Linked DNA regions of Tamandua tetradactyla. The protein of the gene in region 2 purifies or fractionates together with the protein of the main gene of each other region. This does not show direct contact. Links are inferred from orthologs where the notes say so. Each region holds a gene or a part of one and is shown on either strand. Other genes may lie near its edges.

Region 1 (5,277 bases), on a different chromosome or scaffold from region 2:
GTGTCACTGTTGGCTGCCTTTGGCCTCAGCTCCACAAGGTAGCAGTAGCTGACTCCCAAGTCCCCACTGGAAGACCCTAGCAAGGAGGGTCCATTGGTTTCGCCATCATCGTTAGCCTCAGGCTTACCCTTCAGTTGACATAATATTAAATATTTCCCAATGTGTAATTTTGCCCACAATAAAAGTAGCCTTTTACAATATTATGCAGGCATCTTAGCTGCTCATTATAGTGACTCTTCTCATTCCAGAATGCAATTTGAGATATGCCCAATGAAGTGCATTTCCTTTTGAAAGACCAATTTTAACACACACACACACAAAACCCCAGAAAATTCTAGGTAGATTTTAAAAATTTACTCAGTTAGAACACTCCTTTTCAAATTGGATGTTAGGAATAGTGTTACCCAGGATTGGCAATATCTTCTGTAAAGGATCCCATAATAAATACCTTAGGCTTGACAGGCCACAAAGTGTCTACAGGACTGTGGAATAACTCACTCTGTCAATGTATTGCAAAAGCAGTCACAGACAGTACAAAAACGAAGGGGTATGCCTGTGTTCCAATAAAATTTTATGGACACTGAAATTTGAACTTCATGTAATTTTCACATCACAAAATCATTAAAAAAATTTTTTTCACAACCATTTGAACATGTAAAAACCATTCTTAGCTTTTGGGCCATACAAAAACAGGAGGCAGGCTGGATTTGTCTCCCATAGTTTGCCAAACCCTGGTGTAAACCCTCCCCATTTAAAGTGTATTGAAAGGCAGAAAGGCAATTTAAAATAGAAAATACCTGTCAAATGTAAGCAATTGTCAAAAATCAGGAGCTTGCTAAGCAACTAGCCAACAGAAGAAAAGTGGATAATAGCGGATGATAGAAAACCAATGGGTTTTCTTTTTTTTTTTTAACTGGCTTTATAGTCTTAGAGGTCATTTTGGGAAATAAGAATACTGTTTGTTTTTAAAATCTGAAATATTTGGCATTGATTTTTTTATCTTTACCAAGACATTATGTAAGAGTATGTTAGTCATCTCCACTAGTGAGGAGAAAAAAAAACGAATAAAATGCAAAGCCTTCTGAAAATGCGCAAAGATAAAGGACTCCAGAGTTCCCCGGACTGCCCTTTGGCGCAGTCATCTTCCAATTAGAAGCAGCGTTTTAAAATTCAGTGAAAGGAAAGTATGTGTTCCTTCTTAATACCTAAGCCATATTTTAAATTACAACAGCAATAAACATATTTAAGAATACGATGTAAACAACCAAAAAAAGCTGGAAAAGTTCAAAGGCGTTGCTTCTAGGAAGAGTAATGATGCAGTAGGAGAATTATGTTTTCCATGATTAGTATATGGCACTTTGCACTGTGTATGTTTACTTTAAAACAAATCATTAAAAACGAAATGTAAGAAAAGAAAACTGAAGGGCGGGCAAGAACCCCGTTGCTATGATAAATCCTGCGGCGCAGCGTCTCTTTGTCCTCAAGACGCCCACAGCCAAATCCGCCCGGCTCCACCCAGAATGCCAGACTCCTCCCTTCCGGGCCTGAGGGTGGTGCTGTAGCAGAGGGAGGAGCGTGGGCCGAGGCCCCGCCCCCTGCCGTGTAAAGACCTGCGCTTAAGTCTCGCGAGCCTCCACTCAAAACGTCCTCTTCCCTTCCTCTGCGCGCAGCGGCGTCTGGGGCGGAGCGCGGAGCCTGGTCCCGCCCCCTCCAGAAGAGCGTGTGGTGTCACTTCCGTGTCCCTCATCTTCTCAGTCCTCCCGCGTGAGCTGTAAAGGAATTAGCGGGCGTACTGAACTCTTTGGAGCCATGGTGAGTCCGTTTACCCCTGCTCTTGACCTGCTGTGTCCCGAGGTGGGCTACCGCCCGACTGCCCGCTCTCCTGTCCCAGCGCCGCGGGCTCCCAGTGCCTCTCTCGTGGGGCCGCCGCACATGGCGCGGGCAGCGGCGTGGGGCCTGCGTGGTGCCCACTGGTGTGAGTCCTCTACGCCGGGCGGGGAGAAGAGTAGGCCTCAAAGGTAACGCCTTATTCCGCGGCCTCCACAGTTCCAGAATTTCTGCCGCCCAGGCCTTAGCTCGAGCGAAGAAATTTCTAGTACACCAGGCTGGCTCTGCCCTCCCTCTTGGGGCGGGTCCAGGAGGTTCGAGGGTTGAAGATGGAGGCCTTGGCGGCATTATTCCCTCGCCTGCCGGACGATCCTCCCGAGGTGGTCTGCAGATCCCGACTTTCTTATTCGTAGTTTAAAATTATTTTTAGCTGTGCCGTACTTAACAGGCAGTTTCTTTGGAGTATAATTTAGTTTGGTACAGGTTTTGCAAGCTCCGCCTCACCTGTTCTGATGTAGAGCAGGTACACTGTGCTGTAAAATTTTTGCTTAGATATCAACTCTAAGTCTAGTGGAAGAACTCTGAACATACTGTGTTAAAGAGTACTGATAATTCAAATTATAGGTTTCTTGATTTTTCTTTTTAGGCATCCCTTTCCCTTGCACCTGTTAACATCTTCAAGGCTGGAGCTGATGAAGAAAGAGCAGAGACAGCTCGTCTGGTGAGCTTTGTTTTTTCTTCCTGCTTTTAAGAATAAAATTGTACTCTTCCTTTAAGACTTTAAAGGTGACTGATTCTGACATTCTCTGACTTTATTTCAGTCTTCTTTCATTGGTGCTATCGCCATTGGAGATTTGGTAAAGAGCACCTTGGGACCTAAGGGCATGGTAAGGAAAACAGGAATGTTTTTGTAAATTTTAATACTGTTTTAGAGTCATTGGTAGAGATATAGTTAATAACGATTAGTTTTTAAAATTTTTTTTATCTTTAAAACTTAGAATTATATAAGTAAGATATAAATATATTCTCACTAAAAATCAAAATAGTACCCATTCAAGTCTTGATAGAACACCTTCCCCAAACTTAGTCCCTTCCCCAATGGCAGCCACTGTTATTTTGATTTACATATTCTGGATATCTTTCTGTGTACTTAATGTGTGTGTTACACTTTTTCTGTAGCTTGCTTTGTGTTAGCGTAAGTAGATATATTACCTCCACTTTAACTGTCGAGAAGCAATTTGATTATTTTATAGTTTACTATGACTGTTGATGGACACTTCATCTGTTCCCCTTGTTTCAACTGTTACAGTGCTGAAACAAACCTTATTCCTGTCTCCCTGTGCTTTGTAGTGTTTGTAGGATTAAATGCTAGGGCTTTGTTTTGGGGTGTACATACTGAAAAAATTTGAGTAGATACATCAAAATAGCTAGCTATCCAGAGTGTTTATGCAGTAACAGTGTGTGAGAATACTAATTGACCCACTTTCCTCAAGATGTACCTCTGAAAAAAAAAATGTACCTCTGTCTTAACTTGGATCAAATATATTCCCTTTAGGATAAAATTCTTTTAAGCAGTGGACGAGATGCCTCTCTTATGGTAACCAATGATGGTGCAACTATTCTAAAAAACATTGGTGTTGACAACCCAGCAGCTAAAGTTTTAGTTGGTGAGTCTGAGGATAATATTGTTGTTTCATTAACATTTTAAGAAGCTTGTTTTTTAATAGGCTGTGTTAACTAATTGTACTTTCAGTTAATTGCCCACCACTTTTTACTGGATTGTTATTACTAAAACACAAGCTTCTAGAATGCAGTATAATTATTGGTGGTTAAAACTATTACATTGCAGACCTTAAAGTTCCAGAGACTGTCAGGTTAAGGAATCTTAGGTAAGTGAGATTTAGATTGGTAATTGATGTATTTGGAGCATTAAGCAATAGAGAAGTAATGCAAAAAGCAGAATTAGATATGAGTTAATAGATGATTTTTTTTAGATATGTCCAGAGTTCAAGATGATGAAGTTGGTGATGGCACTACCTCTGTTACTGTTTTAGCAGCAGAATTATTAAGGGTAAGAAAATAACTGCAACTTTAACTTTGTTTTGCTACTGTAGTTTAAATAGCAGTAATCACATCTTCACTATTGACAAGTGCTTTCCACTGTTTATTAATAGGAAGCAGAAACTTTAATTGCAAAGAAGATTCATCCACAGACCATCATTGCTGGTTGGAGAGAAGCTACAAAGGCAGCAAGAGAGGCTCTGTTGAGTTCTGCAGTTGATCATGGGTTGGTATACCAAAATACTACTATCTACTTTTCTACTCTTAAAATTTCGCATTCATTTATAACATGCTCAGCGTAGGAAATCTGGAGAGCACTGAAAGGTAAGCACAAACAGATGCTGCTGTCCTCCCCAAATAAAAAAAAACCCACATCATCCTCCAGTGATAGCCATCAACATCAAAGTTTAGATTTCTGGGGTTTTTTGCTTATATAATCAAAACAAAGATGCAAACAGAAAGCAAGTAGTATATTATATAGAGAGTTTTTAGCTTCTTTAACCTTGTTGAATACTAAGCACATTTCTAAATGTCAGATATTCTCAGCAGTATTAATTTTACTATAGTCATTTGATTTTTATGACTATGGTATAATTCACTCAACTTGTCTACGTTGAAAGTTTGTTGTTGTTGCCAATTTTTAGCTTTATAATAATGTGACAAACTTGTTACCAAGTAATTATGTTATTGCTGGGTCTGAGGTATATAGGTGTTTTAAGTCATTTTTATTTACATTATTAAATCTCTAGAAAATATTAGGTATATAACAGTGACTGTTTCCCTGTGTTCTTGACAGCGTGTGCGAATATGATTTGTTTCTTTTTCTTTTTTTTTGGTGAGGAAAATGGTACTTTTAATTTGCATTTCTTGATTATTGTTGAATTATTTTCAAATTGCGTACATTAAAAAATTAGAACACTTGCCATTTGGAGTGAGATTACCTATTTGACATAGGGTATCTGAATAAATTTTGAAAAAAGGAGTTGATATCTTTAGAGAAGCATTTTAAGAACAGATATGATATCCTTTTTTGTTTGTTTTTAGCTCTGACGAAGTTAAATTCCGTCAAGATTTAATGAACATTGCAGGAACAACGTTATCTTCAAAACTTCTCACCCATCACAAAGACCACTTTACTAAGCTAGCTGTAGAAGCTGTTCTCCGACTGAAAGGATCTGGCAATCTAGAGGCAATTCATGTCATCAAGAAGCTAGGAGGAAGTCTGGTAGATTCCTATTTAGATGAAGGTATGTGTGTCTGTGTGTGTATCAAATATGGGAGTTTTGTATGCTGAGGGGTAAAAACTATGCAGATACTGTTTTTAGCTAGTCCAGGCCAGCGATGCTATACAAAGCTAATCAGCTTGTAAAGGACACAAATCATATTGTA
Region 2 (5,277 bases):
TTGTTGGGAGGCTTGAAATTTTAAAGAGGGTGGTCAGGGAAGTCCTCTTTGAGGAGGTGACATTTGAGCAAAGATTTGAAGGTGAGGGAGTGAGCCACGTGGTATGGGAGAGGAACCTTCCAGAGGGAATAGCCTGAAGTAGGAGCTTGCCTAGGATGTTCAGAGAAGGAAGATAATCCTATGAGGTCTGGGGCTTTTATGGCTTTTGCAGGGTTTCCTGCAGAGCCATGATGGGATCTCACATTTTGAAAGGATGACTTTTACTACTCTATTGAGAATGAACTGAGCTAGTTGCCAATTTGTCAAACTGGAGAGATTTTGTGTGGACCTGCAGATTTCTGAGTTCTCTTGAAAAATAGGAAGATGTGCCCACTTTGGACCTACCTGCCTCCATAGAGCTGAGCAGTAGCCTCCCCCTTTAAAAAGTAGGATGTGAGAGCTCCCTTTTACCAGAATCTCCTCCACTCCTTATTGCTCCCAGACAATAAAATGGTGTATTAGCAGCTGTTGTTCCTATAATAAAGAGGAAAATGAATTTTTTGTCTATATCATTTAAAAGTGAGAAAAGAAAAGATATCTGAAGATAGCAGTGTGTTTGAAGAAAGATGGGGGAAGGTATATTTCTTTATGAAAGTGAAGACTAGTTCAATTCTCAAAATATGCAAAGAGGAGCTGCTGAGTCAAAATAATAAAATCCATTCATTTACATCACCTGCATGACCTCTTTAGACATCTGAGTTTGTGTCTGTATTTTTATAAAGTGCCGCCAACTTCTGATCTCATTTGATCTCCATCCTTCTCCTGTGTTTGGACATAGTCAGTGAACTTTGTATTCTTATCCTCCCTATTTTATGAAGAGGGAAATGGAAGCCCAGAAAGGTTAAGGTATCCACTCAAGGCTAGCCAGGAACTAGCAACCTAGAACTTGCAATAGGATTTGTTCCTTGGCCTTTCCCATGTTTATAACACCATGGCCCAGTCTTAGATCTCCACTGTTACCTTTCAAATTAATAGCCCAAATGCAATCCCTAAGTGAGGAACACATGTCCTCGAGCATTCTTTAAATGTAAAGAGGCATAAAAATGCATCTTAATGACTATAGGACCACTAGTAAGTTAGCATAATGCTTGGCACATGGTAAGCACTCACTAAATATTAATATTTTCATAGTCGTTATTTTAATAACTCAGAACAGTGTTTTTCAGTCTCTTAGCTTGCAATAATAACTGATTGATGATGGATTAGTCTATTGCAGTGGTTCTCAAGAGGATAGTGGGGTGATTTTTAACATCAGCTTCCCCTAAGGAGACATTCAGCAATACAGGAGACATTTTTGGTTGCCACAGCTAGAGGCAGGGGGCAGGGAAGCTGCTCCTGGTATTTAGTGGTAGAGATTAGGAATGGAGCTAAGCATTCTAGAGTGCACAGGACTGGCCCCTACAACAAGGAAGTATCTAGCACAAAATGTCAATAACTCCTAGATTGAGAAACTCTGCTCTAGTGTAAGAACGTAATCCAGCTTCCTCCTGTCTAAAGACACTCCTTAGTCCTCCTGGCTGATTTAGGGAAGTAGGCTTTGGACTCACAATGACTGGCTTCTGCCACTTTGTTACAGTGCCTTTGACACATAGTAGGCGTTCAAAACACCTATACAGCTGAAAATTGAATTCACGTACTAATTGTGTGACTCTGAGCAATTCACAAATGTCTGACTTTCATTAATCCTAACTGTAAAATGGGGATTAAAAAGCCCTCTTCCGGAGTTTTTCTGGGGAGTAACTGAGTCAACGTCAGTAAAGCTATTGCACAGTACTTGGCCCATAGCGGGGGCCTCCACAAACATTAATTTTCTTTCCCTTACTTGTCTATTTCTTCCTCCTTCAATGCATTTTCTAATCTAGTCAGTCCCTTCATTAAACTGGGTGACCTTGTGCAAGTCACTTTTCCTCTGTAGGCCTCAGTTTATTATCTGTAAATTACAAAGTTGACTTCTCATCTCCAAGCATACTTTCAACAACAAAATAACACTGTGAAGTTACCGACCTGTCTTTCTCCCCCGGGACTAATGGTACAGTCCCCAGGCTCCCCACCCCCCTGTTGAGGACCTTGGTACAGGCCCAGGGGGCCCTCGGCTGCTACTCCGGGCTGCCCTTACCCCCTGCCGAGTTCCGGGCCCGTCCCCGTGCGAGCTGATTGGCTGGAGTGGTGCCCGGGCTGCGCCGCTATAGGTGAGGGGGACGGGCGGAGCGGGTTGGAGGCCCGCCCTCTCTCCCCTGGGACGGTCCCTGAGCAGAGCCGTGGGCGAGAGGGCGGACGGACTGACTGACGGGAGGGACAGGAGGCAAGCAAGATGGCGCAGACTCAGGGCACCAGGAGGAAAGTCTGTTACTACTACGACGGTGAGCACCGTCCTCACGGCGGGGGCGGAGCCTGGGCTGGGCCGGGTCGGGGAGAGGGAGACTGAGGTCGAGATCTGAGTGGAGAGGCTGAGAGAGGCTGAGGCTGGCGGAGGCGTTGGAGGGAGGAAAAGAGTCGAGGCTGAGAGGGGAGGCCGAGAAAGGGAGGTCGAGACTGAGGGAGGAGGCTGAGAGAAGAAAGGAGGTCAAAGCTGAGAGGAAAAGGCGGTCGAGGCTGAGACCGGGAGAGGGTGGTCTGGGGTCAAGGCTGAGATAATCTCAGGGGCAGGCTTCTGAAGAAGTCCGATGTGGAGAGTTTGAGTAGGGCTCCTGGAGGGGAGGCTGAGTCTGAGGGAGGAGGCAAAATCTGATAGAGAAGGTAATAAGGATAGATTTCCCTGCTGGGACTACACATGTCTTTGACTGTTTCTTTTCTTCCTCACCGATTTTGGTGAGAATCCGGAGGGAATCGCCGGCTAGAGGTTACCTAGTATTCTCCCTCCCTCCCATCTCTGAGCCTGGCCTGTGGTTGCTACTGGGAAATAGGGTCCCTCAGGTTGGAAGAAAGATGCAACCTGTTAAAACAGGCTTATCCATTTAACAACAGTCTACCGAGCAGCTTCCTCTGTACTAGGTAGCATGTAGGTGCTGGGATGATCTAAGTCACACTTCCCATTTTCAGCTCGCGGTGTAAAAGGGGGGATAGACATTGACAGAGAATTACTCCCAAGTTCAGTGTTGGGATAAAGGAGAGCTCAGAGTGTTATGGGAGCACAGGAAGAGTCACCCAACCCAGCCTGGGGAGTCAAGGAGGAAGGTATCACCTCAGTTACGACCTGAAGAACGAGAATTTATTAGCCAGGCACAGGGAAAGCTAAGGTAACAACAAGTTTAGAGGCAAGACAAGGACAGCACCTTTGAAAAACAGCGAATATGTGTACAGTATGGTTGAGGCATAGAATTGGGGGCAGAGTATAGAAGGTGAGAAGCAGGGATTGAAGGTAATGAGGCTAGAGAAGTAAATGGGGACTAGATAATGAAAATCTAGGTGTGCCCTTCCAAGGAAGTTGAACTTTATTCTGAAGGCACTGGTGAGCTATTGAAGTTTTAAGGACATTACTGTCATAATCAGGTTTATGCCTTACAGATATCACTCTGGGGCAGGAAATAAGTTCATGAATGTGTAGGGGTAAGAAAGAAGGTAAGGATTCTAAGTTTCTGGCTTGTGTAATTTGATAGTGGGTGTTTGGTGAAGGCTGTCTCAGTTGATAAATTTGTTTCATTTTTTTTTTTTAATGTAATACCTGTTGAGATGTCTGGTGGATAGCCACGTAGAGACACCCAGTAAGCCCTTTGTCCAGGTCTACAGTTTAGAAGACAGAGATGAGAAGGTAGAGATTTTTGGCAGCCATCCCATATACCTGGTGATTTTAGTCATAGAATGGATGTAGTCACAAGAAGTTATGTAGGATGAAAAGAAAAGAGGATCCAGAAGGGAATACTAAAAAGGAGCAACATTTAAAAAGTGGACTGAGGAACAAAAATAAAACACAAAAACAAAAGCCAAAAAAAGTGGACTGGGGGAAAGAAACCTAGTACCCCCCATCTCTGAATTCTCCTGACATTGCACTTGACACTGTGTACTGAAATTGTCGGTATACTTGTTATTATTTCTTGCAGACAGTAAGTTCCTTAAAGAAAGGAACTATGCCTTATCCACCTCTTTATCCTCAGTCCCCTGAACAGTGCCTAACTCACAGTAGACTCTGAATAAATGAATAATGACACAGAGGGAGTGGCCAGACAGGTTAGCAAACCAGAAGTCTTGGGTTACAAAAGCCCAAGGAGGGAGAGAGTGTTCAAATATTGGCAAGAACCGTTGCTGTGCTGTACACTGGGAAGTGAATAAGTGGGTGAAGAGGAAACATCAGATTAAACCCTTTTTGAGGGAAGCTTGTCTGGAGCAGGGAGAGAAGAATGTTGATAGAAGTGGTCATGTAGTGGCTGAGAGTTGCACATGTTCAAATTCTAATGGAAAAGAGCTGGAGAGAGAGAAAGGTTGAGGGTACAGGAGAGAATGGGGCTAATGGTGATGGAAGTTCTTGAGGAGACCAGGTGAGATGGAAACCAGAGCACAAGGAGGGGCACTATCCTTCAAGAGGAATTTCCTTTGTGACAGAAGGATAAGTGGCAAGAAAAAGTTCAAATATAGGTGAGTTTGAAGGGGAGAAGATAAGGAAGGTTGAGGGAATTCTCTGGATGAAGTAAGTGAATATTTATTTTCCTGAGAGCGAGGGAGGGCAAATGATAGAGTAGGAATCTTGAAGAGAGAGAAGATCTGAAGTAGCTGTTGTGAAAGAGAGTAGAGGAATTGTAAGAATTGTTGGGCAGTGGTGAGGCCCATTAGAAGCTAGAGCCTATGACTTGATAGCTACCTCAGTTTGCATGGTTTTGTGATCACCACACTCTTGATTTAAAAGAAGAGAAAGTGGAAAGAGCTGAGTCTTTGGAGAAGAAAGCAAACTCGTTACTTCTTAAGAAACTGCTTGTGAATTTTGCAGTGAGGTCATTAGATTGTGAATCAGATTTGGATCTGCCACTGAGAAGCTTTGCAGTATTGGGCAGGTCAGTTTACCTTTCTGGGCCTCAGGTCACTCCCCTTTAATGCAGAAATAAAAGCAGTTCCTGTTATAAGAATAGTGATGGACCATTCCTTTAAAATTTAAAGTAATATCTAAATAAAAAGTATTATTTCCCCTATTCTTTTCCATAAAGTCTCTCAGCAACCTATTTAAAAGCTGTTAGGGGCAGTGTAGGACAGTGGCTCAGCAGGCAGAGTTCTCACCTGCCATGTTGGAGACCGGGGTTCGATTCCGGGTAC
Region 3 (5,277 bases), on a different chromosome or scaffold from region 2:
AGCCACATAAACAAAATCTCAATAATTTTTAAGTGTGTGAATCCTGAGACTAAAAAGTTTGAGAACCAATGGTCTAAAGTACTGGGTGGGGAGGTGAAAGCCCTATGTGCAGAGAGAGTGCTCCCTTGGAGGAAGGGCATGGGGCTGGGGTGGGAGCACATGTAGGGATCACATCCCTTCCTTTGCGTTGACCATTTCTCTGGCCTGACTGAACTGGGTCCCTGATCCTTTCAGTATAACCAGAGCCTGGGTCAAAGTCATGTGGGGGAGGGAGGCTCAAATAGAATGCCAATCTTTCCTTCTGCCCCCATAATTACTACCTATCTTTGTAGGACCCCAACCTCTCCCTGGCTTCCTTTACCCCAGAATCCTCAGACCAAACCAGTAACCCGCTGACCCTCCAGGCCCAAGGAGGTCGTCCTTAGAAGCAGAGCTCAGGTGTGGAAGTCTGTCTGGGGGGTGACAGAAAGGAGAAGGAACTCTTTCCCCCCACCATGTTTTCTCCCCTTTCTCATAAAGGTAAGAGACTAAAATAGCTGCCCCTTCCCCTGCATCTGATCACCATGGCAACACAAATCCAAAGGGGCAGGACACTCCTGTTCAGTTCAACACTACTGCTCTGCACTAGCAGCTTCTGCCTGCCAGTGTGTCCCTCTGCTTCTTTGGGCTCGAATATCCCCCACCCTGAGCTCCTACCTGGATTTTGGGTGGGTGGTGGAGGAGAGCAAGAGAAGCCTACTACTCCTTAGGTTCCCGGAGTTTCACTGCTTCTCCAACAGACTCTGAGAAGATGTCATGTGCCAAAAAGGCCAGCAGAGGGAGCAGAAAACCCTGAAGAAAGGAAAGAGAAAGCAAGCAGTTGAGACGAGCAGAGGTGATGGTAGTCTCCAGAACTTCCAGATGAAGAAGATCAGCGGTTCTTGGGGAACAGTACCTCAGGCTCAGGTTCCCTTAGTGGCCTTGTGAACACACACTCTGCACCCAGAACCTCCCCAGTCGCTGTTTCCCTCTTTTATGCACCCCTCACCATCCATCCAGGGTTCCCAACCCCTCAACCCTTTCTCGAACCTCAACTGTCCTAACCCTTCCCAATTCCTTCCAAAGGGTGAGACGGGCATATAAACCACAGCAAGGCAGAATGCTAAGTTAGCACCTATCACAGTCGACGACCCTACTTCCAATACTGTCTTTCTCAAATAACTTTTTCTTTGCCCCCACTGCCCCCTAATAAATTTCCCAGTCTGTTTTTCTGATCCTGGTTCAGGGTCTCTCCGTGGGCAGCCGATCCAAGGATCCATACCGGGATTTACTGCCCACCGACAGAAGCGTGTTCCGCGGGGGGGGGGGGGTGAGTGCGGGGGGGAGGCAGTATAGGGTCCCTTGAGGGAGGGGGAGGATCCTGGGGGTCCTGGGGGTGCAATAAGCCCGGCACCCCCACTCTCCCTGCCAGCTACCCCGCCTCATCTTCCAGAACGGCAGGAGGGAGGGAAATAGGAGGGAGGTGAGGGGCGAGCGGGAAGAGCCGCGGCGCGCCAGAGGCTAGAGCGAGAAAAAGTTTTTGCAAAAGGAAAAAAAAGTTTGCGCTTCTCGCGGGTGGTCCCGACTCGAGGCCTGGCGGGCTGGGCCGGCGGGAGGGCTGGGGGCCAGGTTGGGGGGGTGGGGGTGGCACTGAGGCTGCGCCGCCGTGGCCCTGTCCGCCCCCCCCTCCCCACCGCACACCCCCAGCCCAGACTCCAGCCCTGGACCGCGCATCCCAAGCCCTGCGCCCAGACGGAGGTGAGAAGGGGGGCAGGCGGGGGACCACCTGGGACGGTGGGGGGAGGGGGCCTGAGGGGATGCTCTGTTTCCGAGGGATTGAGATCAGCCGAGAGGGACACCTGGGGCACAGAGGCAAAATGGGGGTGGGAGAGTCTGGGGTGAGATATTAGAAAGTTTGGAGAACTTTTTCATTTGTGGTTCCCTACACCCCCCCCCCCCCATTTCTCCCTTTTTTTTTCCGTGACTGACAGTCAATGTGTCTGTCTCAAGCAGCTGTGGGTCTCTTTGTCAGCCTGTGTCTCTCCCATGTATTAGAAACATCTCACTTTTATCACGTTGAGATGAAGGGGCTGGAGGCACGGCTAACTAGAGGTCTGCGCCCTAAAGAGAACTCCAGGTGTGTCTCTGAGCTCTGGGCAGGAAGATGTCAGTGTCTCTGAGAGGAGGGGACAGCGAAGGAGGGAGCCCTAGGTGGATGGGGATGGGGGTGCATGTGGTAAGAGGACCAAACCACTGGGGAGAGGGTTAGTTGGTTTGAACCCCTGACCTGTCTTGTGACAGATATGCCCGTAGGTGCATGTGTTTTAGGGGAAAAGTGTCTTTTGAGCTAGGAAAGGAGCTGGAGAGATTCTGCCCAGGTTGTCTTGTCTAGGCCTTAGAAAGATTGCCGAAGAAATTTGGGCTCCTGAGTCCCAAGGGCTGTGGGCAGGGCGCTAAGGAGGAGCTCAGAAGACCTTGGCTTGACCCTCTGTCCTCAGGACCACCAGGGCAGCTAGGGCCAGCCACAGGGAGACCCCTACTGAGGATGGGCGGGACCACTGGCCACTGCCAGCCTGAGCATCCCTGTTGGCTACACACACACACACACACACACACACACACACACATGCACACGCCCAAACAGGAGCTAGGAAGGGAAGCCCCTCCTCCGATTCAGACCACCCTGCCTGCCCTTGCTCCCCTCTCTGAAGTCTCTTTCAGGCCCCGTGACCCCGAAGCAATCCGCTCTGGGAGCTAGCTTCGGGGGCAGGCCTAGGGAAGGGGGACCCCATGGATTGTGGAGTGAGGGTTTTAGCGGCCTGGAGAACTGAGGTCTTCATAGGATAGGTCTTTATGCCCCAGAAGAGAGAAGGCGGGGCGATCTCACCGGGGAGGCAGAAGGGTTGGAATAAGAGTGGTTTTCCCTAGGGGGGCGGGGTCCAGAGACCCCCTCCCCATTATCTCTCTGGCATCCCCGCCTAGCGGCGCAGACCCCGCCCTTGACGTCACTAGGGGGTTCCCAGGGGTCTGGAAAGAGTTAACCCTTGGGAAGCCGGCTGGGATACCGGGAACCTAGGGGGTCTCGAACCCTCCTCCCATACACATCTTTTTTTATTTGCCCGCTCATTTTCTCTCCCAGCATTTTCTGGAATCTTTCTTCCCCTCCCTGCTAAGGGGACCCCCATTCTCCAATGGTGTCCCCCCAAGGCGCTGTGGCCTGCTTTCTGGATGCACTGAGGGGAGGAGGGAAGAATGTGTCCCGCCCCTCATCCCCACCGCCCCCTCCACTACGGTTCGCTCGACTGGGCTCCCGGGGCGGGCGGGGGAAGCTGAGCCGTCTGCAGCCAGAGCCTGCGGCGGCGACTTGGGTGGGCCGAGGAGGCACGGGGGCGGGAAAGGCGGGACCGGGAGGAGGCGGGGCGGGGCCGGCTCCTCCGAGATGGGGGAGCGGAGGTGCGAGGGGGATTCTGGAAAATAGGGAGACACAGAAGATGATTTGGGGTTCCGGCAGGGAACCTGGGGCTCCCTGTCCCATTCCGCACTTTCACCCACACCCCAGGAAAAAGCTTTGCTGAAGTTGGAAAAGTTGGCGAAATTTTCCTTCCACTAGAATGAAGGAGAGACGTGGGTGGGCTGCAGCACGGTGGGCCGGAGGGATGTCGCCCCTTTCAATAGCGGTTCCCGGGTTGCTGGGCAGAGGGGCAGGACGATGAAAGAGGACGTGTTTGGGGGAGTCTCTCAAGTGTTTGGGGGGTCATTTGCGAGCCGCCTCCTTCCCCTGGGTGAGTCATAGAGGAAGGAGGCGGGAGAAGTGCCCCCCCCCGTCCAGCTGCCAGCCAGCTGTGCCCCCCCCCCCAGAGCTGCCCTCCCCCGCCCCCAGTTCAGTGCCAAGATCGAGTTGGGAGGTCTTGGATGCGGGATCCGGATCTCGGCTGGAAAGGAGTTGGGAAGGGTATGGCCCAGGCTGCGGGGTTTGGGCTGCGTCGTGGGGTCCGGGTTCCGCTCCCCGTTTTACCCCGCCCTCACCCTAAATCCCGGCATCCTGGGATCACCCACCGCGCGGGCCGGCCCGCTCCCGGTGGTTCTCCACCCCACCCCGCCCCACCCCACCCTCAGTCTCGGGAGACCGGAAAGCCCGGGATGGACTACAAACCGGGAGTTTAAGTAGAAGAGCAGACAACAGCGCCCTCTCCTCCCTTACAACGCCTCTCTAATGGTTGGTGACTGTTTTTTCATTCTCCCAAAGGCTTCTTTCACAAGTCCCTTTTCTGTTCCCCCCAGAGACCAAAGGGGTTAAGTGGGTGCCCATATGTAAGTGGCCCCAGAATAACACCAGTTTCCATCCCATGAACCCAACAGACATGTTGGGATGCCTTTCCTACTAGTAAACACAGGTTTGCCTAAGAGGGAGAGAAGTGGCTGACTGGTGCTTCCGCCTGGCTGCCCCAGCTCCCTCGCTGGACTGTGGCTAGGGCTCCCTCTACTGGACCCTGGAGAGATTGTAGACGGCTGTCCCAGGGCAGGGACAAGAGAAGCAAAGGGGCTGAGTTTCCTCATCCCACTTCTCAAAGCAGGCCCATGGCCAGGGCAGAAAGAAGAGTCCGGTGGCATTAACATCACTTGAAGTTCTTATAGGCAAAATAACCACCACCACCCCACCGAACACCCAGACAAAGCTCACACCTCATTCCCCCAAGGATCCCCAAGACTGCCTCTGTCTCTTTGGGATGTCTCTCCTTAGCCCTTCCCTGTCTGTGATGCTCTGTTCAACTTGATTTCCCACAAGCACATGTCTTGGAGAAGGTGGGGCACAGGGGAAGGTTTGCCCAGGGTTCTGTGCTTGAGATAATTGTCTGATCTTCCCATTTCCCTCCTCTCTTTATAACTTGCAGCTCTCCCTTCTCCCTCTGCAGTGTCCCCACACCCACCTCTGAGACGCCATGTTCAACCCGATGACCCCACCCCCAGTCAGTAGCTATGGCGAGCCTTGCTGTCTCCGGTCCCTCCCCAGTCAAGGGACCTCCAATGTGGGGACAGAAGGTTAGTGCATACCAATCCCTGGACCTTGATCAAATCTCCTCACCCAGCCCCAGAGATCCCTCTCAGACTTACCCCCTGCCCCATGCCAGTTTCCCATCTACAGGAGAACTTGAGCCTCCACGTCACATGGGCTTAGAATCTGGGGTCAGGCCTTGCCTGGGGTTTCAAGGTGAGGCCTCCTGTATCCTCCATTCCCTCCCCCCATTCCAGCTGTCTCTC

Evidence for each region.
Region 1: the proteins of HDAC1 (region 2) and CCT2 purify together in Homo sapiens (affinity purification with mass spectrometry; 4 studies listed by BioGRID and IntAct, counting the BioPlex papers as one, with this or other methods). This does not show direct contact. The link is inferred for Tamandua tetradactyla from reciprocal best matches to the Homo sapiens genes HDAC1 and CCT2.
Region 3: the proteins of HDAC1 (region 2) and GLI1 purify together in Homo sapiens (affinity purification with western blotting; 3 studies listed by BioGRID). This does not show direct contact. The link is inferred for Tamandua tetradactyla from reciprocal best matches to the Homo sapiens genes HDAC1 and GLI1.

What each region holds. Positions count from the first base shown.
Region 1 is NC_135333.1:138,142,500-138,147,776, forward strand, and holds the start of CCT2 (T-complex protein 1 subunit beta), read left to right. Parts: upstream 1-1,637; 5' UTR 1,638-1,809; coding exon 1,810-1,812; intron 1,813-2,473; coding exon 2,474-2,548; intron 2,549-2,648; coding exon 2,649-2,714; intron 2,715-3,382; coding exon 3,383-3,494; intron 3,495-3,821; coding exon 3,822-3,898; intron 3,899-4,001; coding exon 4,002-4,114; intron 4,115-4,932; coding exon 4,933-5,135; intron 5,136-5,277. UniProt on the Homo sapiens protein: Component of the chaperonin-containing T-complex (TRiC), a molecular chaperone complex that assists the folding of actin, tubulin and other proteins upon ATP hydrolysis.
Region 2 is NC_135328.1:193,616,888-193,622,164, reverse strand, and holds the start of HDAC1 (histone deacetylase 1), read left to right. Parts: upstream 1-2,248; 5' UTR 2,249-2,350; coding exon 2,351-2,399; intron 2,400-5,277. UniProt on the Homo sapiens protein: Histone deacetylase that catalyzes the deacetylation of lysine residues on the N-terminal part of the core histones (H2A, H2B, H3 and H4).
Region 3 is NC_135333.1:124,767,841-124,773,117, forward strand, and holds the start of GLI1 (zinc finger protein GLI1), read left to right. Parts: upstream 1-1,666; 5' UTR 1,667-1,776; intron 1,777-4,160; exon of another isoform or gene 4,161-4,234; intron 4,235-4,931; 5' UTR 4,932-4,958; coding exon 4,959-5,058; intron 5,059-5,277. UniProt on the Homo sapiens protein: Acts as a transcriptional activator. Binds to the DNA consensus sequence 5'-GACCACCCA-3'. Regulates the transcription of specific genes during normal development.